6 linked regions of the Oryctolagus cuniculus genome follow. The protein of the gene in region 6 binds, or shares a complex with, the protein of the main gene of each other region. Links are inferred from orthologs where the notes say so. Each region holds a gene or a part of one and is shown on either strand. Other genes may lie near its edges.

The links.
Region 1: the proteins of CDC42 (region 6) and WAS are in contact, whole or in part, in an NMR structure (PDB 1CEE), measured with the Homo sapiens proteins. The link is inferred for Oryctolagus cuniculus from reciprocal best matches to the Homo sapiens genes CDC42 and WAS. Residues at the interface, in NP_001034891.1 of Homo sapiens: Gln2, Tyr23, Thr24, Thr25, Val36, Phe37, Asp38, Asn39, Tyr40, Ala41, Val42, Thr43, Val44, Met45, Ile46, Gly47, Tyr64, Arg66, Leu67, Leu70, Lys153, Lys166, Asp170, Glu171, Ile173, Leu174, Leu177, Glu178, Pro179; in NP_000368.1 of Homo sapiens: Lys230, Lys231, Lys232, Ile233, Ser234, Lys235, Asp237, Ile238, Gly239, Ala240, Pro241, Ser242, Gly243, Phe244, Lys245, His246, Val247, Ser248, His249, Val250, Trp252, Phe258, Leu263, Asp264, Leu267, Leu270, Phe271, Ala274, Gly275, Ile276.
Region 2: the proteins of CDC42 (region 6) and FMNL1 are in contact, whole or in part, in a crystal structure (PDB 4YDH), measured with the Homo sapiens proteins. The link is inferred for Oryctolagus cuniculus from reciprocal best matches to the Homo sapiens genes CDC42 and FMNL1. Residues at the interface, in NP_001034891.1 of Homo sapiens: Val36, Phe37, Glu62, Asp63, Tyr64, Asp65, Arg66, Leu67, Arg68, Pro69, Leu70, Pro73, Lys94, Glu95, Lys96, Pro99, Glu100, His103, His104, Lys131, Asn132, Gln134; in NP_005883.3 of Homo sapiens: Cys45, Met46, Asn47, Leu48, Pro49, Lys52, Leu56, Tyr59, Lys63, Glu66, Leu67, Asp70, Gln71, Phe74, Tyr83, Arg122, Glu123, Glu125, Thr126, Ser127, Leu128, Arg129, Thr130, Asn131, His132, Ile133, Val136, His228, Met232, Arg235.
Region 3: the proteins of CDC42 (region 6) and FMNL2 are in contact, whole or in part, in a crystal structure (PDB 4YC7), measured with the Homo sapiens proteins. The link is inferred for Oryctolagus cuniculus from reciprocal best matches to the Homo sapiens genes CDC42 and FMNL2. Residues at the interface, in NP_001034891.1 of Homo sapiens: Val36, Phe37, Asn39, Gln61, Glu62, Asp63, Tyr64, Asp65, Arg66, Leu67, Arg68, Pro69, Leu70, Pro73, Ser88, Glu91, Asn92, Lys94, Glu95, Lys96, Pro99, Glu100, Thr102, His103, His104, Pro106, Lys131, Asn132, Lys133; in NP_443137.2 of Homo sapiens: Ala41, Met42, Asn43, Leu44, Pro45, Lys48, Leu52, Tyr55, Lys59, Glu62, Leu63, Asp66, Gln67, Arg69, Phe70, Lys73, Tyr79, Arg108, Glu109, Ile112, Ser113, Leu114, Arg115, Thr116, Asn117, Ile119, Val122, Asp219, His222, Met226.
Region 4: the proteins of CDC42 (region 6) and ARHGAP1 are in contact, whole or in part, in a crystal structure (PDB 1GRN), measured with the Homo sapiens proteins. The link is inferred for Oryctolagus cuniculus from reciprocal best matches to the Homo sapiens genes CDC42 and ARHGAP1. Residues at the interface, in NP_001034891.1 of Homo sapiens: Asp11, Gly12, Ala13, Tyr32, Val33, Pro34, Val36, Phe37, Gly60, Gln61, Glu62, Asp63, Tyr64, Arg66, Leu67, Leu70, Ser88, Glu91, Asn92, Glu95, Lys96, Asn132; in NP_004299.1 of Homo sapiens: Glu278, Gly279, Phe281, Arg282, Arg283, Ser284, Ala285, Asn286, Thr287, Gln288, Asn309, Glu310, Val316, Lys319, Arg323, Asn385, Lys386, Met387, Asn391, Val394, Val395, Pro398, Asn399, Trp402, Ala403, Lys404, Ala406, Ala407, Thr409, Leu410.
Region 5: the proteins of CDC42 (region 6) and IQGAP2 are in contact, whole or in part, in a crystal structure (PDB 5CJP), measured with the Homo sapiens proteins. The link is inferred for Oryctolagus cuniculus from reciprocal best matches to the Homo sapiens genes CDC42 and IQGAP2. Residues at the interface, in NP_001034891.1 of Homo sapiens: Gly12, Ala13, Ile21, Thr25, Asn26, Lys27, Phe28, Pro29, Ser30, Glu31, Tyr32, Val33, Pro34, Val36, Phe37, Asp38, Tyr40, Phe56, Tyr64, Leu70, Gln74, Gln116, Leu119, Asp122, Pro123, Ser124, Thr125, Glu127, Lys128, Lys131; in NP_006624.3 of Homo sapiens: Gln893, Thr894, Asn924, Tyr925, Ser927, Asn928, Gln929, Arg930, Glu931, Glu932, Arg976, Gly977, Asn979, Gln983, Asp1067, Leu1068, Leu1069, Pro1070, Tyr1071, Lys1191, Phe1192, Asn1193, Lys1196, Tyr1197, Leu1200, Val1201, Thr1202, Val1203, Ser1204, Lys1205.

Annotation. Positions count from the first base shown.
Region 1 is NC_091453.1:33,872,043-33,876,235, forward strand, and holds the start of WAS (actin nucleation-promoting factor WAS), read left to right. Parts: upstream 1-1,393; 5' UTR 1,394-1,463; coding exon 1,464-1,595; intron 1,596-1,892; coding exon 1,893-2,033; intron 2,034-3,457; coding exon 3,458-3,544; intron 3,545-3,645; coding exon 3,646-3,748; intron 3,749-3,844; coding exon 3,845-3,886; intron 3,887-3,979; coding exon 3,980-4,033; intron 4,034-4,193. UniProt on the Homo sapiens protein: Effector protein for Rho-type GTPases that regulates actin filament reorganization via its interaction with the Arp2/3 complex. Important for efficient actin polymerization. Possible regulator of lymphocyte and platelet function.
Region 2 is NC_091448.1:18,420,434-18,424,538, forward strand, and holds the start of FMNL1 (formin-like protein 1), read left to right. Parts: upstream 1-1,305; 5' UTR 1,306-1,671; coding exon 1,672-1,800; intron 1,801-4,105. UniProt on the Homo sapiens protein: May play a role in the control of cell motility and survival of macrophages. Plays a role in the regulation of cell morphology and cytoskeletal organization. Required in the cortical actin filament dynamics and cell shape.
Region 3 is NC_091434.1:89,233,057-89,236,556, reverse strand, and holds part of FMNL2 (formin-like protein 2), read left to right. Parts: coding exon 1-111; intron 112-2,295; coding exon of another isoform or gene 2,296-2,387; exon of another isoform or gene 2,388-2,421; intron 2,422-3,500. UniProt on the Homo sapiens protein: Plays a role in the regulation of cell morphology and cytoskeletal organization. Required in the cortical actin filament dynamics.
Region 4 is NC_091432.1:19,236,916-19,240,415, reverse strand, and holds part of ARHGAP1 (rho GTPase-activating protein 1), read right to left. Parts: intron 2,127-3,500; 5' UTR 2,090-2,126; coding exon 1,954-2,089; intron 1,730-1,953; coding exon 1,634-1,729; intron 1-1,633. UniProt on the Homo sapiens protein: GTPase activator for the Rho, Rac and Cdc42 proteins, converting them to the putatively inactive GDP-bound state. Cdc42 seems to be the preferred substrate.
Region 5 is NC_091445.1:1,169,375-1,171,896, forward strand, and holds the end of IQGAP2 (ras GTPase-activating-like protein IQGAP2), read left to right. Parts: intron 1-1,196; coding exon 1,197-1,310; 3' UTR 1,311-2,022; downstream 2,023-2,522. UniProt on the Homo sapiens protein: Binds to activated CDC42 and RAC1 but does not seem to stimulate their GTPase activity. Associates with calmodulin.
Region 6 is NC_091438.1:148,699,289-148,702,788, forward strand, and holds part of CDC42 (cell division control protein 42 homolog), read right to left. Parts: intron 3,344-3,500; exon of another isoform or gene 3,079-3,343; intron 2,940-3,078; 5' UTR 2,891-2,939; coding exon 2,786-2,890; intron 1-2,785. UniProt on the Homo sapiens protein: Plasma membrane-associated small GTPase which cycles between an active GTP-bound and an inactive GDP-bound state. In active state binds to a variety of effector proteins to regulate cellular responses. Involved in epithelial cell polarization processes.

The sequences.
Region 1 (4,193 bases), on a different chromosome or scaffold from region 6:
ATCTGAAGCCAGGAGCCAGGAGCTTTTGCCAGGTCTCCCACACAGGTAGAGGGGCCCAAGTACTGGGCTATCTTGTACTGCTTTCCCAGGCCATAGCAGAGAGCTGGATCAGAAGTGGAGCAGCTGGGACTTGAACCAGCAGCCATATGGGATGCCGGTGCTTCAGGCCAGGGCTTTAACCCGCTGCGCCACAGCCCTGGCTCCATAAAGTTCCTTTATTTTAATAAAGAGCTGAGCGAAGGGGCCCGGTGCTGTGGCATAGCAGGTAAAGCTGCCACTTGTGGTGCTGGCCTCCCATATGGGCGCCAGTTCAAGTCCTGACTGCTCCGCTTCCGATCCAGCTCCCTGCTAATGCTCCTGGGAAAGCAGTGGAAGATGGCCCAAGTGCTTGGGCCCCAGCACTCATGTGGGCAACCCGGAAGAAGCTACAGGCCTCTGGCTTCAGATCGGCCCAGCTTCGGCCGTTGCGGCATTTTGGGGAGTGAACCAGAAGATTGAAGATATCTCTCTTTCTCTCCTTCTCTATCCCTGTCTTTCAAATAAATAAATAAATGATTTTTAAAAATTAAAAAATATATATATATATAAAGAGCTGAGGGACGGCGCTGGGGTGCAGTGAGTTAAGCCATAAGCTGTGACACTGGGAGCCCATGTGGGAGCACCAGTACAAATTCTGGCTGCTCCACTTCCGATCCAGCTCCCTGCTAATCCACCTAGGAAGGCAGCAGCAGACGACCCAAGTGCTTGGGCCCCTGTACCCACGTGGGAGACCTAGATGGGGTTCTGGGCTCCTGGCCTGGCCCTACCCTCACTGCTATAGCCATTTAGAGAGTGAACCAGCATATGGAAGATTCTCTCTCTCTTTCTCTCTCTCTGTCACTCTACCTTTCAAATAAATAAACAAAATAAAAACAAAAAAGGGCTGATGGGCAGAAAATAATTTGGTTGCTACAGGAGACAAGGGTAAGGGAAGTGACCTAGGGGTGTGTACCCTGTTGGCAATATCTGTGGCTCAAGATAGGAGTGGGCTCCCAGGGGCTTGCTATGGAATTAAAGGGAAAAGTCTTGGACCTGGGCCCCGGAGTCTATGGTGTTTTGGGGCAGAGGGAGGATTCCCAGCCTGATGGCTCCTCCTCGCCCCAGCCAGCCCTGCAGAAGTACTGCAGATGGCTCAGCTCCTGCTGCCAGCCAGAGAGAGGAAGCTCTGAGTTTGTTGGAGGAGGTGGGCCCCAGAGGATAAGACTGAAGGAGAAGGACCTGAGCTAGTTAAAAAAGATGGGTCTAAGCAGTCCAACAGAGGAGGGCCCGTGGGGAGGACGAGGCCAGGCCTACTGAGAGGCCCCCTGGAGGACTTGTTTCTCTTGTGGTTTTTTTGTACTTCCTGTTCCCTTGCTCACTGCGGAAGTTCCTCTTCTTACCCTGCACCCCGAGCCTAGGCGGAGAGGACAAGGACAGAAGGCACCATGAGTGGGGGCCCTGTGGGAGGCAGGCCCGGGGGTCGAGGAGCACCTGAGGTTAAGCAGAACATTCCCTCCACCCTGCTTCAGGACCACGAGAACCAGCGACTCTTCGAGATGCTTGGACGAAAATGCTGGGTGAGCTGGGGATCTCCCGGCCCTCCCTTCCTCTTCTTCCTCTCCCTCCTGCCTCCTCATCCTCCCCACCCTTTGCCTCTCCCTCTCCATCTCCCCCTCCTCCTCTGCCTCCCCATCAGCCCCTCTCCTAGAAGCCACTTTTCCACTGCTCACCCATCCCAGGAAGATCCCGAGGCCTCCTCACCTTCCTTCGGGCTGCAACTCTTCCTTCAGGCCCATGACAGGGGCACAGGAAGGCCCAGGTCTGGCTCCCCCCACGACCAGACCAGACCCACTGATCCCTGCTCTCCCTCCTAGACGCTGGCCACTGCAGTTGTTCAGCTGTACCTGGCGCTGCCCCCTGGAGCCGAGCACTGGACCAAGGAGCATTGTGGGGCTGTGTGCTTCGTGAAGGATAACCCCCAGAAGTCCTACTTCATCCGCCTTTACGGCCTTCAGGTGACCCTCCCCTCAATGGATAGGCAAACCCGACCTCAACCTGCAAAGCCAGACCTTTGCCCATACATAGCTCTGAGCCCTGGGACCAGATGAGCAAATCCCTGAACCCTAGAACTAAGGCTCCCTCCCCCAGGTCTCAAACTCTGGTTTGCCTTTTTGACTTCACAATGACTGACCCCAGAGTCTCCATATCATGGTATCTCAACCCCCAAATATTAGACCACCTCCCAGGCCCAATTGGGTCTACAAATTCTAAAAACTGACCATTTGATTTATGCCTGTACCTCAAATCTGTTCCCAGCTTGACATGTTGCATCTTAGGAAATCCTCCATCAAAACTCCTGAGCCCCAGATGTTTGCCCAGCTCCTAAGTCATAAGCCTGTTGTTGCTCAGACCCAGAACCTGAAGATTTCATTGAGTCTTGAACTTCTCAAACTCCAAATCAGTCTTTATTTATTTATTAATTTAAGTCAGAGTTACACAGAGAAGGAGAGAGAGAGAGAGAGAGAGAGAGGTCTTCCACCTGCTGGTTCACTCCCCAATTGGCAGCAATGGCCGGAGCTGCACTGATCCAAAGCCAGGAGCCTCCTCTGGGTCTCCCATGTGGGTGCAGGGGCCCAAGGACTTGGGCATCTTTTACTGCTTTCCCAGGCCATAGCAGAGAGCTGGATCAGAAATGGAGCAGCTGGGACTCGAACCGGCGCCCATATGGAATGCCGGCACTGCAGGTGGTGGCTTTACCTACTATGCCACAGCGCAGCCCCCCAAATCAGTCTTTTTAAGCCCACAGCAAGGACCCCAGAATTTCCACATTAACACTTCTGAACACCCAAATAAGGAGGTAGTGCTGCAGCAAAAAACAGACCTGTCTTATCAACCTCCAACCCAAACTTTCCAGGCTTACACCCAAATTCATCCTCCTAAATCCATAAAGATGGACCTACCATCACTTCAAGATGCCAAAGCCATCAACTATTGATCAAACACCACAGCTCTAAGTCTGCTCTACAAACCCTAAAATGCACATACTTTGTCTGGACTCCTCCCCCAACTGCCAAGTCTATATGTCTGAACCTCAAATCTCAACCCCAACTCCCAAATCCTAAAAGCCTACCTTCCATGGAGTTGGGGCAGTGCAGGATCAAGTGAGTCTATGTGTGAGCCTCAATTTCCCGGGTCTTGCAGTCATAAGTTTTCCAAACCACGACCCAGTTCCCACCGCAGAGTCTGATACTCAGACGATATCTCAACCCTCCGATTCTGACACCCAGCCCCCACTCCCTCTGATACTGAGCTGAATATCTCCAAAATTAGACTCCAGAGCCCCAAATCCAGACACCACGCTCCCTGCCCAGATAACAGCTTGTCACCCACCCAGAGGGTGCCTCCGTGCCAGTGTGTCCCCTATCCTGCACCTCTCCAGGCTGGCCGGCTGCTCTGGGAACAGGAGCTGTACTCACAGCTGGTCTACTCCACTCCCACCCCCTTCTTCCACACCTTTGCCGGAGATGTAAGTGATCAACCAACCCCTGCGCAGCAGTAGGGAGCATGGGGAGGGGGTGCTAAAGGTGTGAGGGGCCTGGAAGGCTGCTGACCCTGAGGCATGTGCAGGACTGCCAAGCGGGCCTGAACTTTGCAGATGAGGGTGAGGCCCAGGCCTTCCGGGCCCTGGTGCAAGAGAAGATACAAAAAAGGAATCAGAGGAAAAGTGGAGGTGAGGAGGCCTTGGGGGTAATAAGGAGGTTGCACAGAGATGAATGTAAAGGTGGCAAACTACAAAAGCCCCATCATGATTTTGGCTCCCCAACAGACAGACGGCAGCTACCCCCACCACCAGCACCAGCCAATGAAGGTGAGTCCTCTAGCACAAGTAGCAATAAAAGGGGCCCTGCCCAAGAACCTGTGGCAGGATGGTGATAGCACTTTCCCCTTTCCATCTATCCAGAGAGAAGAGGGGGGCTCCCACCCTTGCCCTCACACCCAGGTGGAGACCAAGGGGGTGAGTGCTGATTCTGCTTTGTGTCTCTGGATGGATAAGTGGGTGAATGGAGGGGCAAACGGGTAGGTATGTGGATGGATGAGCAGGTTCATGGACGTGTGGCTGGATGAATAAGTGCATAGACAGGTGGCAGATAGATGGCTGAGAGGAGGGGATGAAT
Region 2 (4,105 bases), on a different chromosome or scaffold from region 6:
CTGCCAGGGCTTCCTCGAGATCAGGTCTCAGGTCCTTAACGTCCCAGAAGGCAGAGTGGGGGGAGCCATAAGTGGTGAGAACACCTGGGCCCCCGCCTTGCCCTGAGCAGGTTCTGGGCTCCTTCGCGGCCCCCTGGTCAGCCCCCACCCCACCGGTGCTATGCCGAGGCTCTCACTGGGCGTCCCCACTAATTCAGTGGGGAACAGAAGGAGCCACGGGAAGAGTCTCACATCCAGGCTGGACACTGGGCCCCAGGTCTGGGGCTCCACGCCGACCCTCAGATGCCCTCCCTCCCCAGATCCCAGAAGAGAAGGCAGAGTAGACTCGGGAGGTGACTGGGGAGGGCCTGTCTCTGCCCTTGACTAGCTGCGTGCCCTTGAGCAAGTCCCTCAGTTTCCCATCTCTGGTAGAGGGTCAGCAACACCTACCGGCCGAGTGGTCATCAGGGAAGGCGGGCAGAGCCCTGGAAGCAGCAGGCACCAGACACTGTTAACCCCAGGCCGGCGGCCACCCCGGGTCTCTGCAGGAAAGCGTCCAGGAGAGTCCTTTTCCTCCTCTGCCCCCTGCTCCTTGACCAGCCTGGCCGGCCCTGGCCGCGGGCCCCGGTCCTCGCTGCTCCCTGGCGCTGCCCTGGCTACCCAGCTACTGGCTGCCTGCTCTTCCCTAGGGGTGCCCCATCCCCAACCAGCACCCCCCTCCCGGATGCCGGCTGGACGCACAGACGCTGCAGTGGGACAGGTGGCAGGGGTCTCCTTTGGCCTGGATCCGCGCCCCTCCCACCCTGTTTTGGGGCTCCCGCTTGCAGATGGTTCCCTCTGGTCCTTAGCGCTCTCCAAGCTGGCGAAACCGAGCGGACACGAGACGTGGGGGGCCTGGAAGGGGGTTCCCACTCTCCATGCGGGGACCTGAGAGGGGGACGGAGCCCTGCAGCCCTGCGCCCCAGCGCCGCACCGCCACGGAGTCTAAGTCGCGCTCGCCACAGCTGAGAAGCCTACCTCGGAGGTGTGCCCCCTGCTCTCCCCGTGCGCCCCCGTGGTGCGACCCCTTTCATCCAGACCCAGCCGCACCCCCGCCCCCGGCGGAGAGGGAACTGCGGTTCTAGGACCCGGAGGCGCCGCCGCGCGCGCCGCCGCCTTGGCCTCGCTTCGGTCTCCTCCCGCTCCGGCAGGTGAAGTGGCGCCGGCCGCCCCCTCTGCGGCAGGTGAAGCGGGCCGGCCGCCCCCTCCCCGCCGCGCCATGGCCGCGGTGGACCCCCGGCCGCCACCCGGCGCCCGCCCCCTCCCTCCAGCCCGCCCCGCTGCGGCCGGGCACGCAGCGGCGGCGGCGGCGCACGGGGAGCGACAGCAGAAGTTCGAACATCGCCGAGGGGGGAGCCCGCGCCGCAGCTTCCTGCCCCCGGCCCGGCCCTCTGGCCCCGCGGCCTGCAGCCTGACTTCCTCCCCCACCCTGCAGCGCGCCGCCTGGCTCCCTCGGACCGGGCCGCCCCGATGGGACGCCGCGCCCCGGCTCCTGCGCGCCGCTGAGCCGAGCGCCCGCCGAGCGGAGCCGAGCCGAGCCCCGCCGCCGCCTGCCGCTGCCCCCTCGCCCTCCGGATCGGGAGCCTAGTCCCATCCCCCGGAAAGCTGGATTTCCGAGGTTGGAGGCGACTGGCCGACTGGGTGGGGACCACCATGGGCAACGCGGCCGGCAGTGCGGAGCAGCCCGCGAGCCCCGCCACGCCGCCCCCCAAGCAGCCCGTGGCCCCCAAGCAGCCGATGCCCGCGGCAGGGGAGCTGGAGGAGAGGTTTACCCGGGCGCTGGTGAGTGCTGCCGGTGCGCGGGGGCGGGCGGGGGGCCGCAGGGGCTGGGCTCGCATCCCCGCCCCCGGGGGCTCAGGTACCGCTTGGAGAGCCTGGCCCGGCGGGACCCCTCCGGGGGTGGCAGCGACAGTGGCTTTTTTCAGAGTGACTTAGCACGCTTCCCCCAAAACTTTCTTCTGCGGCAGCCCAGCCTTCCCCCCGCAGAGCCCCTGCCCCACCTCGCTCACGCGCTCCCGGTCTGAAGGTCTTTCACGGACCGTCCCGCGAGCAAGTTGGGAGCTGGAGCAGTCTAGGTGCGGGGGCGCGGCGCCCCCTTCCCATTGCGCGCAGGCCCGGCCGCCGGGCGCGGGTCCGGAGCATCCGCCCTTGGGCTCGCTCCATCCGAAGCGTGGAAGCTGGGACGGGTTCTGCTTTAGCCTCATGGGAACCAGAGACCTAGCGAAGGTGTTTAGCCAAGAATCGTGCGGGGCCTGGGCGGCTGGGAGGCCGGGCAGCGGGTGGGTCTGTGTGTCCCACAGCGCTTCGCAGGTGGCGGCCAGAGGTGGGTCGGGTCTTGGGCGCCCCTCCCCAGGCGTCCGTGGAGTACGGTCAGGAAGGGCAGGGTCAGGATGCTTTGGTCACTTTGGCTTGGGATTGAAGCAAAAATCTGGAAGCCCCCCTACCTCCACCACCACTGTCTGGGGGTCTGTAGGAGGGGAGGGGTCCACCAGCTCAGGCTGAGGCCGGTTGCAGTCAAAGTGTGCTTGCTTGGTGCTGCAGGGAGCTCGGAGCAGAGGCAGGGGACCCCAAGACTGGCAGGAGGCAGAAGTAGGGGAGGGGAGAGCCACTTAGTCCCACTTCCGCCTCCCAGCCCAGCCCTGTCCCCGGCTCCCTGGTGGCCTGTCCACCGTCAAGGCTCCCTTGCTGGACAGTGGTGACAGCAAATAAGGCCCTGCTCGTCCTCTGAGCAGGCTGGCCCTGCCGGGCTGAGGCAGGTGCGGGCCCAGGGCGGCTTCCTACCTCCCAGACACCGTTTCCCTCCCGTCCCCTGGCTGGCCGTCGGGCCACACTTGCCAGGTCCACTCTTCATGGCCCCAGAGGAGAGCCTCCCAGCAGTTCCTGAAAATCTTGGCTGCTGCCTTCTCCCAGGAGAGCAGGAAGAGCCATCCGGAGCACCCTGGGCGGAGTGGGAGCTGCGGGTGCCTGGCTTGGCTGGGTGGGTGGGAGCTCCCAGGGACACACCACTTCCCCGACTTCCCCACCGTCCCACCTGCCCCCACTTCCCTCCTCCCAGACCCAGGGCTTGGCAGAGCTGAGCTGAGCAGACAGGGAAGGGGAAGAACCAGGGTGTGTCTGGACCCCCACCGATCCGTCTTGGCCCCCTCTAGCGTCTTTTCATGGATGGGGGTGGGGCTGCCCTTGGTGACGTCCAGGCCCCCCTGTCTGTTCTGGTTTGCACACGATGGGGAGGAGCCCTGTGAATAATTCAGAGCAGTGGAAAATCCAAAAGTCAAATGGTGAGCTCTGATGCGTGTGGGGGACTGGATTGCCCTGCCCTGGTTTGTGGCTGTAACACAAAATGCCCCTGGGAGTCCCTGAGGTTCGGGCGTGGAAGGAGGCAGAAGTGGGCCTTACTGGGTGTCTGCGTGGACAGTGGGTGGTGGAAATCTGGGGCAGTCCTGCTGGTAGAAATCAGGGGTTCACACCCCACTTCCCCTGGTCCCCAGGCACCCCCTGTGCTCACACCTTCTTCCTGGGGAGCGTCAGCCCATTGTGGGCAGGGCAGATCCAACCTCAGGTCACTCAAGTAAGAACTGGGCTCCTATGACTCCCCAGCAGCAAGAGATAGCCCCCCCCCCAAGCAATAGCCTTGACCTCTGATGGGAGCTGTCCAAGGCTAGAGCTTTGGCTGACCCACAGGTCTGGCAGGGGTGTTGCAGGGTGGGGCGCCCCCTGGTCATCACACCCCCTGGGGCCAGAGCTTGGTCCCCATCCTTAGTCAATGTCAAAGAAACCACCCTCAGGGTCCCCCAGACTGTGGGCAAAGCACAGAGCTGTCCTTGAGTGGCCTTGGGGAGCTTTTTCCTTTTCCTTAAGCTTAGTACTGGTGGGGAGTCGGATCCCAGCCCCCAACTCCTCCTCCCTTCCTGGCAGTGGAGGGCGAGTGGTCCGCCTCTCAAGCCCACAGCCAGACAGGCGGTACAGGGAGCCTTTCTCCCATGCAAGGACGGGGGGGCACCTTTCCAAGCAGGCTGAAGAGAGAGGGGTGCCCCAAGCTTAAAATGGGGGTGGGGAGAAAGAGCAGGTTGAGCCAAGGTGCCGGTTG
Region 3 (3,500 bases), on a different chromosome or scaffold from region 6:
AGTCAAAGAGGCAGCAGCAAGAACTGATCGCAGAGTTAAGGCGGCGGCAAGTGAAAGATAACAGACATGTTTATGAGGGAAAAGATGGTGCCATTGAAGACATTATCACAGGTAAAGTATGTCTCCATACCGTGGCACGTGGAGATCCCACTAGCCTCACGCGGACTGGGCTCTAGGCAGATTTTGCAGTGTCTTTTGCCCAGGGGTTGGCAACTTCGTTCAGATCTAGAATTATACCCAGAGACTCCATGCTAGGGGTTGAAGTACATTATAGCAGCATCGGTATTGGCCCAACACACTCTCTGAAAGATCTATATCTCAGTATCATTGGAACCCTATAGGTTTCAGCAGTGCTGCTTCTCCTAATGGTTTTCCATTATTTTCAATTTTATCATCTCCATGTTCCTCATGGCCACCCCTACCCACCTGCCTGATACATAAATGTAGCTAAGACCACTCAGCTTCGTATTAACTACCATTCATGCAGGCTCTCCCCAGCATGCCAGTTAGAAGCCTCCTTATTCTAATTCAGAGTCCCTGAACTCAAAAGGAAGTCAGGGCCTGGTACTTTACTATGGATGATCCAGTGGGCTTCTAGCCCAGGGCTAGTGACTAGCTGTTTTGCCAGCTAGGAACCATGTGTAACCCAGGGTGGTTCTTCTAGCCTCATGTTTCCTGTTTGAACCAATTCTTCTGGGTTGCTGTACTTTGTCTTACAGATCACCATGATAATTTGGGCTATTGTCTGGTAGCAGTGGCACAAAGTGACTTTTTCATGTCTGTTGCACATGAATGCTGTGTATCAGCGTCTAAGACACTTATAAGCTTTTTATTATAGGAAAATTCAAAAATAGACAAAAGCATAGTGAAGAGAATCCCATGTACCTTGGGATTATTTTGAAGCACATCCAATACATATTCTACTTGGAAATATTTTGCTTTAATGTCTTCCAAAAATAGGGGCCCTAGAAAAATAAAAACATACCCACAGTACCCTCCCCCCCCCCCCTTTTTTTTTTCAAGATTTATTTGAAAGAGTTACACAGAGAGAGAAGGAGAGGCAGAGAGAGAGGTCTTCCATCTGCTGGTTCACTCCTCAATTGGCTGTAACAGCAGGAGCTGCACCGATCCAAAGCCAGTAGCCCAGAGCTTCTTCTGGGTCTCCCACGCGGGCACAGGGGCCCAAGGACTTGGGCCATCTTGTACTGCTTTCCCAGGCCACAGCAGAGAGCTGGATCGGAAGTAGAGCAGCCAGGACTTGAACTGGCGCTCATATGGGATGCTGGCACTGCAGGTGGTGGCTTTACCTGCTGTGCCACAGCGTCAGCCCCCGCATTGGCCTTTCTACTTACCACCCAAACTGACAAGTTCTTAATATCAGATATCTAGTCAGTATTCACATTTTCCCAGTTGTCCTAATTTCTTAGAAAACCTAATTCCTGGTCATGTTTTTTCATTTCTTATTATAGCTTAGCCAACACTGAAAATTGGGATCTCAAACTGTGAAACCCACACATTTTTTTCACCAACTCAGACCCAGGGGAATTAAATAGAGAAATTAGACACAGATAAGCCAGATAAGATAGTTATGGATTTTTTTTTAAAGAGTCAATAATGGTTCAGATTGAAGTAGTATAAGGTCTGAAAGGGCAGTGGCCGATGGAGATGCCATTCTCTACGCACAGCGCACGTGCATTCGGCGTAGGTGTGCCTACTCTGAGTGGCCTGCAGAGGCCTTCAAATTAAAGCCCCCATTGTTGAGCATGTGTCCTTGCCTCCTCCACACTGAGAGAGAAAGCCTACTCTGAACGAGACCAGGAACAGATCTCCTCTCTAGGTAAGCACTGGTTAGTCTCAGCACCACAGTAAGATGAACTTGTAGGTAGGGAAGCATGCAATGTTGTAACGAAGGACTTGGTGTTCTGTTTAACCCGGATGTGTCTCCATCCCAAAGACACCTGGCTTTATGTAAGGAATGCAACGTCCATTTTCTATGTCCCTGACCTAAGCGATTGATCTACCAGAGGAGGTGATGCGTATCTCCCTCTCGAGCAGTTTTTATTCTCCTTGGAATGCATTCCATTTTCTGCTCTGCTCCTAAGCCCCAGGTTGAAAAACTCTTAAAGACTTCCATGAACTAACTGGAGTGTACCTCATGTTCCCCGTTTCCTGCCCACCCTCTCCCCACCTCCGTCCCCAGGTATGATTAACAAAGCACTAACCATGAACTAATGTGATGGATCTTGGCTTTCTCCTCTCTTTGTCTGTGTTGTTTGGCTGTCATTCTCAATGCAGTGCTGAAGACTGTGCCCTTTACTGCTCGCACCGCCAAGCGTGGCTCTCGGTTTTTCTGCGAACCTGTTCTCACTGAGGAATACCATTACTAAACTATTACTCTTTCTCACCTGATGCTCTTAAAAGGTTGCTACAGGTTTTTTGTTTATTTATTTATTTATTTATTTTGACAACTTATGTCCCTCTCTGTGTGTCTGTCAGGGCCAATCAATGTGTAGCATGGAATTACCATCTCCATCATGTTGTATTTTGTGTTGTCCTCATGCTGCATGGTTTTGCATTTCAATTATTACTGCTCACTCACTGCCACTTTCAGTACTTACATGCAATCCACATTGCTGTGACAGTCTGGGCATGGCTGACAGTTGAATTAATAGAATTGCTTGAAGAAATTTGCAGAAAAATGGTAAACAGAGAACTTCCTTGAAAATCAGGATTGGGACCAAGGAGATTGTAAGATTTTTGGACTTAAATGTTTGAATACAAAGGGATAGTGTCATTACTAACAGTAACTATCATGGCTAACATTTGCTGAGCACTTTTGCTGTGCTCTACTAGGTTTATGGATATTACAGTAGCCCCTCCCCCCTTTAAAAACAAAAATACCCAGTTACCTCAGAGTGTTCTGAAACTGCAAAATGATTCTCAGAAAGAACTTTGAATTATGCATAGCTATAAATTGGGCCTTTCTTAGCTGTCATGTGCAGTCCATAATGTAATGGAATGGAATTCACAATGTAAACTTAACCCTGGCATTGTTTAGAAGTCTGTATGCTGATATTGGCAATCCATGGCCCCACAGCACCCCACGCTGAGCTGGTCATATGTGTTCGCTCTGAGTGTCATGCCCAAGTGTAGTTATGAGCAATTCCATGTTGGAACAAAGCTATGATGCAGGAAGAGTCAACAAAGATGCAGGCGCTCACACCATCTTACCTCATCCATACCTCTTCACGGTGACTTTGTTCCATGTCAAACCCAGCGTATTTCTTCTGTGAGATTATCTCTGGACCTGCTTCTTGGATCAGGATAGTGGCACCAGAAATACAAGCAACAAATACCTATCATTGGAATGCCACTATTCTTAGAAGTCAACAAAGATAACCAAATTTTCTCAATAAGTAACTTCCTGGGCTCAGATTGTGATGAAACTTCTCTCTAGTGCCTTGCTGATTAGAAAAGGCACGAGGGAAGCCCAGTCTGTC
Region 4 (3,500 bases), on a different chromosome or scaffold from region 6:
TTACTGGCAACCGCTGGGAGGAAGCCCCTGGCATCTGACCTGACGGAGAAGCACGGAGAGGGGAGGCTGCACAGGGACTGGAGACACCGCGTCCCCTCCCACAGGGGCTCTTTTCCATGATTCCGGCTGCAAGAAACTGGCCCGCTGGGACGGCGCCATGGCTCGTCACCCTGGCAGTGCCCGTGCAGGCTCCTCGTGCTCACATTAGGGGGCACGCCCAGGCTGGACGCCAGCACCCAGTGTCCAGGCCCAGTATGAATGGGGCGCCTCCCGGCCCTGGAACTCCTTTCCCTGTGGCCTCTGGGTGTGTCCCCACCTCGCCTCCACCCTGTCATGCCTCCTATAAATCCTTCGCTACTTCCTGCTCCCCGACCCCACCAGCCCCCAGCTCCCCAGAGTGCGGCTGCAAATAAGCTGATACCACTTGGCCTCCACGAGAGCTGCAGCCACAGGGAGCTGGGCCCCTCAGGCTCGTCACACCCCGGGGAAAGACACGCGCTTGCAGCTCTGTGTTGTGTGGGACTTCAGGGGCCAGGCAGCGGAGCGACTCCTCACATCGGACATTCTCCACACCAATCGGGTGCAGTGGTGGTGGAGGGAAGGGTGTCTCCTGTGCCCAGGCCCAGCTCAGCCCCGGCCAGAATTCTGCAGGGGTAACACAGGCCAGAGCTCGCCTCTACCCCAGACCACGGCAGGCACCAGGAACACCTTTGATGGGGTGATGGAGGGATAGCGCTCCCAGCTGCTTCCCTGTGGCCAGCACATGGCTTCCTCCAGGGTCCTCTGAGGCAGCACCACACTGGGTTCCAGGGCCAGCTTCTGCCTGGCTCCCCTTGCTCACCCAAAGCCTCTGAGCAGGGCCATGCTGTCCCCCTGCTCACCAGCAAAGACAGACAACCACCGGGAAAAGACAAAGGATCCTAAAGTTCCAGCGGCCTCTTCCGGCAGTGGGACCCTAACGGCAGGAACCAAGTCATCAACATCTCGTTGTCTCCCCCGCTCCTGGGTTCTCCTGGCTCCTCACTTCTGAACAGGAGGAAGGGAGGTCCCCACCCAGAACCCACAGGGCAGCACACGTGCCTTGACACCAGTGCTCCAGGGAGTCACGTGGCCCCTCACTTCTGGAAGGAGCCACTGCCTGTTCCAGGGTTCCTGGCCCCCTTCCCAGTAACTGATGGGGTGGGAAGGCTGACGTCAGTGCCAAGGGGAGGGAGGGGAACGCAGTGAGGGAGAGGGAAGGCCACTCACTCAGGGCCTCTAATCGTGCTGGCTCCAGGCTAGGCCCTGACACACATTCATGACTACAGTCCTCTCAGCGGCCAAACAAGGAAGAAAGAAGCTCAGAGAGAGAGAGAGAGAGAGCTGGGCCCCAAACCCAGGCCTCTCGACTTCAAAGCCACTGGGCCACACAGCCTCCTTCGTATCATCTGCAAATGGAGCAGGGGAGGCAGAGGCTCATGGGTCAGGAGGCAGGTGCAGGTCACAGGTCAAGGAGCAGCCACCGTCAAGTCTGGGCTTTTGAAGGATGGTGCCCCGGGCTGGGGTCAGCCCACAGGGCAGCTCGGCGGGAAGGGTGGCTTCTCTGGGCCGGAAGCACCCCGGGGGGAAAAGGTTCGCAGCTGGGGGCGCTCACCTGCCACCTCCACGATCTGGTGCCGGGCGATGTCGTAGTAGGGGTCATCCCACTTCAGGTGTGTGACGGGTTCTGGGGAGCTGCTCTTGGAGTCATCTGGGGAACACGGCAAAGTCAGGATGATCTGGGGGGCTGCTCCCATGTGCTCTCCGAGATACTCGCTCTTTGGCCCTCCCCCTGGTAAGACTTGCGCCCCAGCTCGACCCCAGCCCCGGGCCGGTCTGCTTGCCCCCATCCTGCCTTGCAGGGTCTCCCTTCAGCAGTGTGGGGGTCTCCCCTGCTAAACTGCCCACCGCTGCCCGAGATGCGGCACTGCCCACCTGACTTGGGAAAGTCGGGCATCTCATCCGAGGGCCAGTTCTTCTCGTCGATGGAGGCCAGCTTCAGCTGGTTCAGCGCCTGGCTCGAGTCGTCCAGGATCAGGTCATAGTCTTGCAGCTCTGACAGCGGATCCATGGCCAAGCCTGTCGCCCTGCAGAAGCCGAGGGGCACCCTGCGAGGGGAGGCATGGCGGCGGGCCAGGGTCAGCGACCTCTGGAGTTATCTTTCGCAGCATCTACGGTGAGCACCCTGCCCTCCCCCACCCTCCCCCAAGCTCCCTGGTCCCTGTCCCTCAGCCCCTGTCATCCTGCCAAGAACTCCAGGGAGTGAGATGCCAGGAAAGGCAGCTGGAGCGGAGGGCAGCACGGCTCGGCCTCCCCCTTCAGGTCCTCCTGCTGTGCCAGGTCCCACGCCGCCTGACCCCTGGCTGGCCTGGTCAGGCAGACCCAGCTGCAGAGGCCGGAGGTCGGCGCCCCCCTCTCCGGAGGCCCAGAGCATAGACTTGCAGGCCCCAGCAGTTACAGCGCTGCACCCCACGCCTGAAACAGGTCAGCTGAGGCCCTGGCCGCTCCAACCCTCCCCTGGCTAGAGACCACAGGTCCCAGAAAAAAGGCCTGCCTCAGGGGCCCCACTGGGTTTGCCCTGGGATGGGAGCCAGCAGGAGGGACGGAACCTGCCTGCCAGTCAACAGCAGACAATCCGCAGGCTTCTAGGGGCTTCCAGGCCATGCTGAACCCGCCGGGGAGCACCCGGCACTAGTGTCAAGGTGGAAAAGACTGCTCCAAGGACACGGAGGGCAAGGGGGCGCTCACGACACCTGGGGTGCTGAGAAGAGAGGCCACAGCAGGGAGCAAGGGTTTCCCAGGCCTAGATGTGGCCGCCAGGAGGAGGAAGCCTGCAGCAGAGCGGGGCAGGCACCTCCGGCCTGCAGCCCCAAGGAAGGAAGGGAAGCAACTCCCTTTCCTGCCACAAGCTCACCACCCGGGTGGCGAGGGGGGCTTTAATTCAACCCATTTGGTCCAACCCCAGGGAAGAGGTTGCTGTACGCCCAGCCGCATTCCTGGAGCCCAAAAAAATGACATATATGGTCAGAGAGTGAGCAAGGCAGATAAGGAGAGCAGACAAGGCCCGGGGGTGGGTAGGAGGAAGAGGGGGAGAAGTGCCATCCGAGAGCCACAGATCCGGGCTCTGACGCGACGTGCCAGCCTCCCGCACGCTTCACAGCCACGGGCTCTGCACTGCAAACCGGCTCCCTGTGCCTAGCAACCACCACCCTGTTGCCAGGGTGACCACACGGATTCAGTGGCAAAAGCTGTTTCAAGCTCCCCAGCCAAAGCCAAGCAGCCATACTACCAAAACACTCGTCCTCCACTCCTCCGCCTCCTCTGGCCGAGCCACCACTCTGGTCCCCATCCCTGCTCACCACCAGAATACACGTCCCTTCTGGAGCCCGCACAGCAGGACGACCCTGCCCCATCAGGAATGCCCTTCCCAAGGCCGGTACTACTGTGCCCCTCGCCCATGAAGCCCAGCTCCAGCCACCCCA
Region 5 (2,522 bases), on a different chromosome or scaffold from region 6:
CAGTCACTTCGCTGAGCCCGGGCAGTGACGTCAGCCCTGGCCTCCTGCCTCCCCCACCCGCCCACGCAGGCCAGGGCCCTTCCTCTCTGTCCAGCAGCCCGGGAAAGCTCAGGCCAGAAAACCAGGCCGAAAAGGCCCTGATAACGGCACGGAGATAGGGTGCAGAGATAGGGTGCAGAGAGGAAGCTGAGACACAGTGCGGCCGTGGCCACGCCGAGGATACTGAAGTCACGTGCTGCCTTCTGCCCTTGGGGGACTACACAGGGCAGCTGGCGGGGGTCCTCCGTGCTTCCTGTCGCTGTGGGGGTGAGACACCCTGCAGGACACCCCTCAGGGGCGGCTGGGCCCCGGCAGACACCGTCCGGGCTGCTTAGACCCGAGGCCCCTGCCGTCACCCACTCACACAACACCATCTGTTCCCATGACAGCTGACTGTTGGCAGATGGCCACGGACCCCCGGGGGCTCTGTGATTCGCAGGCACCACGCAAGATACAAATGTAGGGCCCCTCCTCAAAATTGTTACAGATTTTGGGACAAGAATCTGAAAGCCTGAAACCGTGCAGGGCTCCTCTGAGCGTGGCCCCGGGTCGCTGGCAGCCGGAGCCTCAGAGAGGCCAGATGGCTGTGTCCAGGCAGCATGTGCCTCCACGCGGACTGGTCGGTTAGCCAGGAGGACGACGGCCCGGACTTCCGTGGGAGACGGGTGGGGAGCCTAAGGGGGTCCCGTGCTTCCAGGTCCTGCCTACCTGGTCCTCTTCCTACCTGAAGAAAGCGCTAGGGCCGCGTTGTGCCCGGTGGAGAATTCTGTGTCCTGCAGGCCAGCATGGTGTCCTGTGTCCGAGGCTGACGCACACCTCCTGGGGCTCTCACACCCGCCCAGCAGGATGTGTGGCTTGTGTGGCAGGCGTGTGCGTCTAGCATTCAGGCCCAGCGTCCGGCGAGCTCTGCCAGCCCCCGCCCCCCCCCCCCCCCCGCCCCATGGCAGGTGAGGCTCCCGGGGCCGTCACAGCCGGCCGGTGTGAGGTCGTCCTGGCTCTGCCCTGCTGCAGACGCCTCCGCAGCGGTTCCCGCGGCTGTGCCCGCCCGGCGCCGTGTCCTCACGCACGGAGAAGCTGGAGACGCCGTACGGGTGACGGGCGGCTCCGCGCCCCGTGCTCACCGCGGCCTGTGTGGACGCTGCTCCCCTCCCTTCCAGGACCTGCTCGAGATGCAGTATGAGGGCGTGGCCGTGATGAAGATGTTCGACAAGGTCAAGGTGAACGTGAACCTGCTCATCTACCTGCTCAACAAGAAGTTCTACGGGAAGTGAGGCGGCCGCGCCTCGCACCGGGCCTCACCGCGGAAGGGATGCGTTGAGTATTTTTTTTAAACACGATCAGAATCACTGCTTAGAAACGTGTGATTTTTTTTTTCAAAGACCAAAACTGTCCTGGAAAACGTACCCATGTGCCTTCTTGCCAAATCCGTGCCACGCTGGAGTGAGACGTGGAGCTGGTGGGTGTGGGGCGCCGGCGGTGCCGTGGCGACACCGTGGCTGCTGTCAGCAGGAGATGCGCTGACCGGGCCCCGTGTCACCCGGCGCTGTGAGCGGTCCGAGCGCCCTCCTGAGCCCCGGGACGCTTCCTGGATTTCTTGTTTTTCTCAGCCGTGGGGAAATAGAAACCTGATGATTTGAATGAATTATTAGACAGTTCTAAGCCCTGTCTTCTGGGAATTACTGATTTTAAAGAGAAATTTTGTGCAATTCAAAATGGGGTTTCCCGAGTGATTGAAGGTGACGATCACCCTGTCCCCTGTCCGTGCTGAAGCCTGCGCTGTACGCGGTCCGTTCCTGGAGGGGAAAGCACTACTGGGCGGGCCAGGGCCCGGGACGACCCCTGCCGTGCGCCCGGCCCCGCCCCGCCCCCACAGCTCAGCTCAGCACTTCAGCTGTGACGCTATGAAATCGGTGTCTAGATGGCTCCAAAGTGTATTCTCTGCAAATTGTTTTACGTAAAATAAACATTGCTTGATGACATGGATTTGGCTTTTATCTTAAACCCAAATCATTTCATGGGCACAAGATTCCTGATGGGGCAGAGCAGGCAGACACTGCCCGGGCACTGTGCTGGTTGTCCTGTCGCTGTGCCCGGTACCCGGTCACTGCACTGGTCACCTAGTGCTGGTCACCCCAGTCACTGCACTAGGTACCCTAGTGCTAGTTACCCCAGTCACTGCACTAGTCACCTAGTGCTAGTCACCCCAGTCACTGCACTAGTCACCCTAGTGCTAGTTATCTCAGTCACTGCACTAGTCACCCTAGTGCTAGTTACCCCAGTCACTGCACTAGTCACCCTAGTGCTAGTCACCCCAGTCACTGCACTAGTCACCCTAGTGCTAGTTATCTCAGTCACTGTACTAGTCACCCTAGTGCTAGTTATCTCAGTCACTGCACTAGTCACCCTAGTGCTAGTTACCCCAGTCACTGCACTAGTCACCCTAGTGCTAGTCACCCCAGTCACTGCACTAGTCACCCTAGTGC
Region 6 (3,500 bases):
TTGGGTACAAACCACATGACCTAAGATATCTACTCCGCCGAGATGCCTCATTTATAAATAGATCATTTAGTCCTTTAAAAAACTCTATCTACTAATTTTGGTTATACTAAGTTTGTGAAAATGAGAGGTAATGGTGCTAATGGGAAAAGAGCCAAAACTAATTTATGGGCTCCTTTGAAAAATTTTAATTGAAAAACAATGCTTTCACATACAAATGTAGCTGTTGATTTACAGCAAAGTTTTTAAATTTAAAATCAAAATTAAGGACTGGTGTTCTGGCAGAGCGAGTTAAGCCCAGTCTGCAAGTCCAGCATCCACATGAGCACTGATTCAAGTCCTGGCCTGCTTCACTTCTGATCCAGTTTCCTGCTAACGCACCTGGGAAAGAAGCAGAAAATGGCCCAACTGTTTGAAAACCCTGCCACCCACACTGGAGACTCCTGGTATCCATCTGGCCCAGCCCTGGCTATTATGGCCATTTGGGGAGTGAACCAGCACATGGAAGATCTATCTCTAATTCTGCTTTCAAACAAATTAATAAATCCTTTTTAAAAAGAAATAAAATTTAAATTAATTAATTAAAAAAAATTTTAAGGCGCTGGCGCTGTGGCATAGTGGGTAAAGATGCTGCCTGCAGTGCCAGCATCCCATATGGGCGCCAGTTCGAGTCCCAGCTATTCCACTTCCGATCCAGCTCTCTGTTGTGGCCTGGGAAAGCAGTGGAAGATGGCCCAAGTCCTTGAGCCTCTGCACCCAGGTGGGAGATCTGAAGAAGCTCCTGGCTCCCAGCTTTGGATCAGCATAGTTCCAGCCATTGTGGCCAACTGGGGAGTGACCCAGCGGATGGAAGACCTTCCCCCCACCCCTTGCTCTCTCTGCCTCTCCTTCTCTGTGTTAACTCTTTCAAGTGAATGGATAAATCTTTTAAAAAAATTTTTTTAAGAAAAGCAATGCTTTTTAATCAGGAGGATGTTATATATTGAAAGCAGCCTCACTTAATCTTCTGGCTATGTAATATAATTTTCTGGTTCCCATTATACTGAGTTGTTTAGAAGATCAATTAAGTTAGATGTAAAGGAAAGCGGAAACAAGGGCAAGAGGGAGATGGTAAGGAAGTCAGAAAACTATAAAGGTTATTTCATTTAAGACACACTTAAGATACTCAAATAGCCCTTCTTTAAAGGGTTATTTACATACAAGGCTGGGCTAACAAACAGAAACCCTGCCTTTCATTCTAGACTCTACCTACACCAGTGTGTTTGATTACTTAGACTTCTAAGTCTCATCCCTAAATTGGCCTGAATTTCCTAACCCAGAAGAGATGGATAAGATGGTACGTATGATCCCTTCTAGCTCTGAATTTCTATCAGTCTAAAAGTGGCAGCTCCCAGCTCATAAATGGATACAAATAAGCACCACAATCTCATAACAACTTATATAAACAATGAGAACATTTTTTGTGCTTTATTGTCATTGATTTACCTAAATAGGCTCAGTTTAAATTTTATCCCACCACTACTCTTCCTCCCACTCTACCCCTTTTCTGGAGATCCACATACAAACACAAATATGAAGCACCCACAAGTCCACCTTAAATATCACCAAATAATCAGTCATAAAATAAGACTCTGAATAACGCTGAGTAAATACCTTCATGGAGACTGAAATACAAAATCCTGACAGTTGTCCTTATTTGAAACAAGACCCATACATCTCTAAAAGTCCCTTGCAACTTTAAAAGGTCTTCCATTTATACTGTCCTCATATGGAACAGTTCAAAAATAAGACTTTTGAGTTTAATTATACTTTCCAATTCTCTTCCTCAAAGAAATTTTGTCTTCTCTTCTCCTATTTCCTTGGCCTAACTCACTACCTGCCCTGGAACTTTATAGAGCCTATCAATCCCAACAGAATGCAATCACCAAACCTTAAACCTGTATTTACCTTCCTAATAACGCTCAAGTCTCTGAACATTAACCTCAAGTACCCAATCATTTTCTCCCTTTTCACTTCCAAAGAATACCAGTTGCACATTAATTACATACGAGTCTTTCAAAACATTTAAACCTGCCAGAGGTGGAGGCCAAGACAGGCTAACTCCAACTGGCCTCTACTCATTCAAGGAACAAGTATGTTTAACACAATTATACCATTGGATGGGTCAAGCAATTTGGGACAAACACTAGATTCCCAAATAATCTTTCACAGATAGGTGTTACTCTAAGTAACTCATCTATCACTTCAGTATCTTCATTATCCCTCCCTCTATCCTTCAGGGGAGCTGATAATAAAGTAACTGTCAGGGAAGATTCCCAAAGTTTTCTGTTGGTATTCTCGCAACAAAACAGGTCTTCTCTAGGAACCAGCGTGATGCTCCATTGCTGCTCAGAGAACAGCTCTACAGAGATTATTTTCTTTGAAATTACAGAACCCCAAATGCATCCCAGGAGACCTTCAAGTGCTGGTCATTTATTGGCCAAGATATCAAAAGAAATCTCATTCCAAGACATAGGGCATATGTCTCTAAACTGACACCACCACTGGTCAGAATCCTGTCTATGGAGTTTGCCTCCCAAAATTTCTTGCAAACCCTTATATCACCCCTTCCAACTTTCCACTGATTTTTCTGCTAATTTTAAAGTGTATATAATTTACTCATGAGAAGTTAAGCTCTTTAAAAATAGGAAACAAGGTAGACAACAGAAAAATTTCAGCAGAGAAAGCATTGTCAAAAGGTATCAAATTATAATACATTTCATTAACAGATGGAAGCCTTTATACTCACAGTCGGCACATACTCAGATGGAAATTTGTTTGTTGTGTAGGAAATCAGGAGACATGTTTTACCAACAGCACCATCGCCCACAACAACGCACTTAATCGTCTGCATTGCTGAAATAGTTTTGTATCCACTTTAAGTATTCAAACTTGATGATGACCTAGAAAAAGATTTAAATATTTGTTTTATTTATACTTACATATTTTTTCCCTCAAATGGCAAAAATCTCTTCACAGAAAGAACAGAGCTAGCACAACTACCACGACTGAAGGACTCTAAAGGGGGAAATAATGACTTACTCAAAGTCATAGTAACAACAGTCGATTTTCTAAGTTTCTGATCCTGGATTGCTTCAATTTCTCTCTCTCTCTCTTTAAGAAGCAGGAGAGACAGAGCACCTAACATTCGTTGACTTCCTAAATGCACATAACATCCAGGGCTGGAGTTGGGCCAGTCCAAAGCTGTGAGCCAGGTACTTAATCTAGGTCTCCCAAGTGGGTGGTAAGAATCCAAATACTTGAGTTATCACCTGCCGCCTCCCAAGGTGAACATTAGCAGGAAGCTAGAATAAGGAGCAGAGCCAAGATTCAAACCCAGGCACTCCAATATAGTATGTGACTATCTTAACTGCTAGGCGAAATGCCTGCTCCCATATTTTTTTTCAGACTCAAAGAAAAGGGCTGTATCCGAAAGAATCCTATGTAATATGCCAATTATTGTG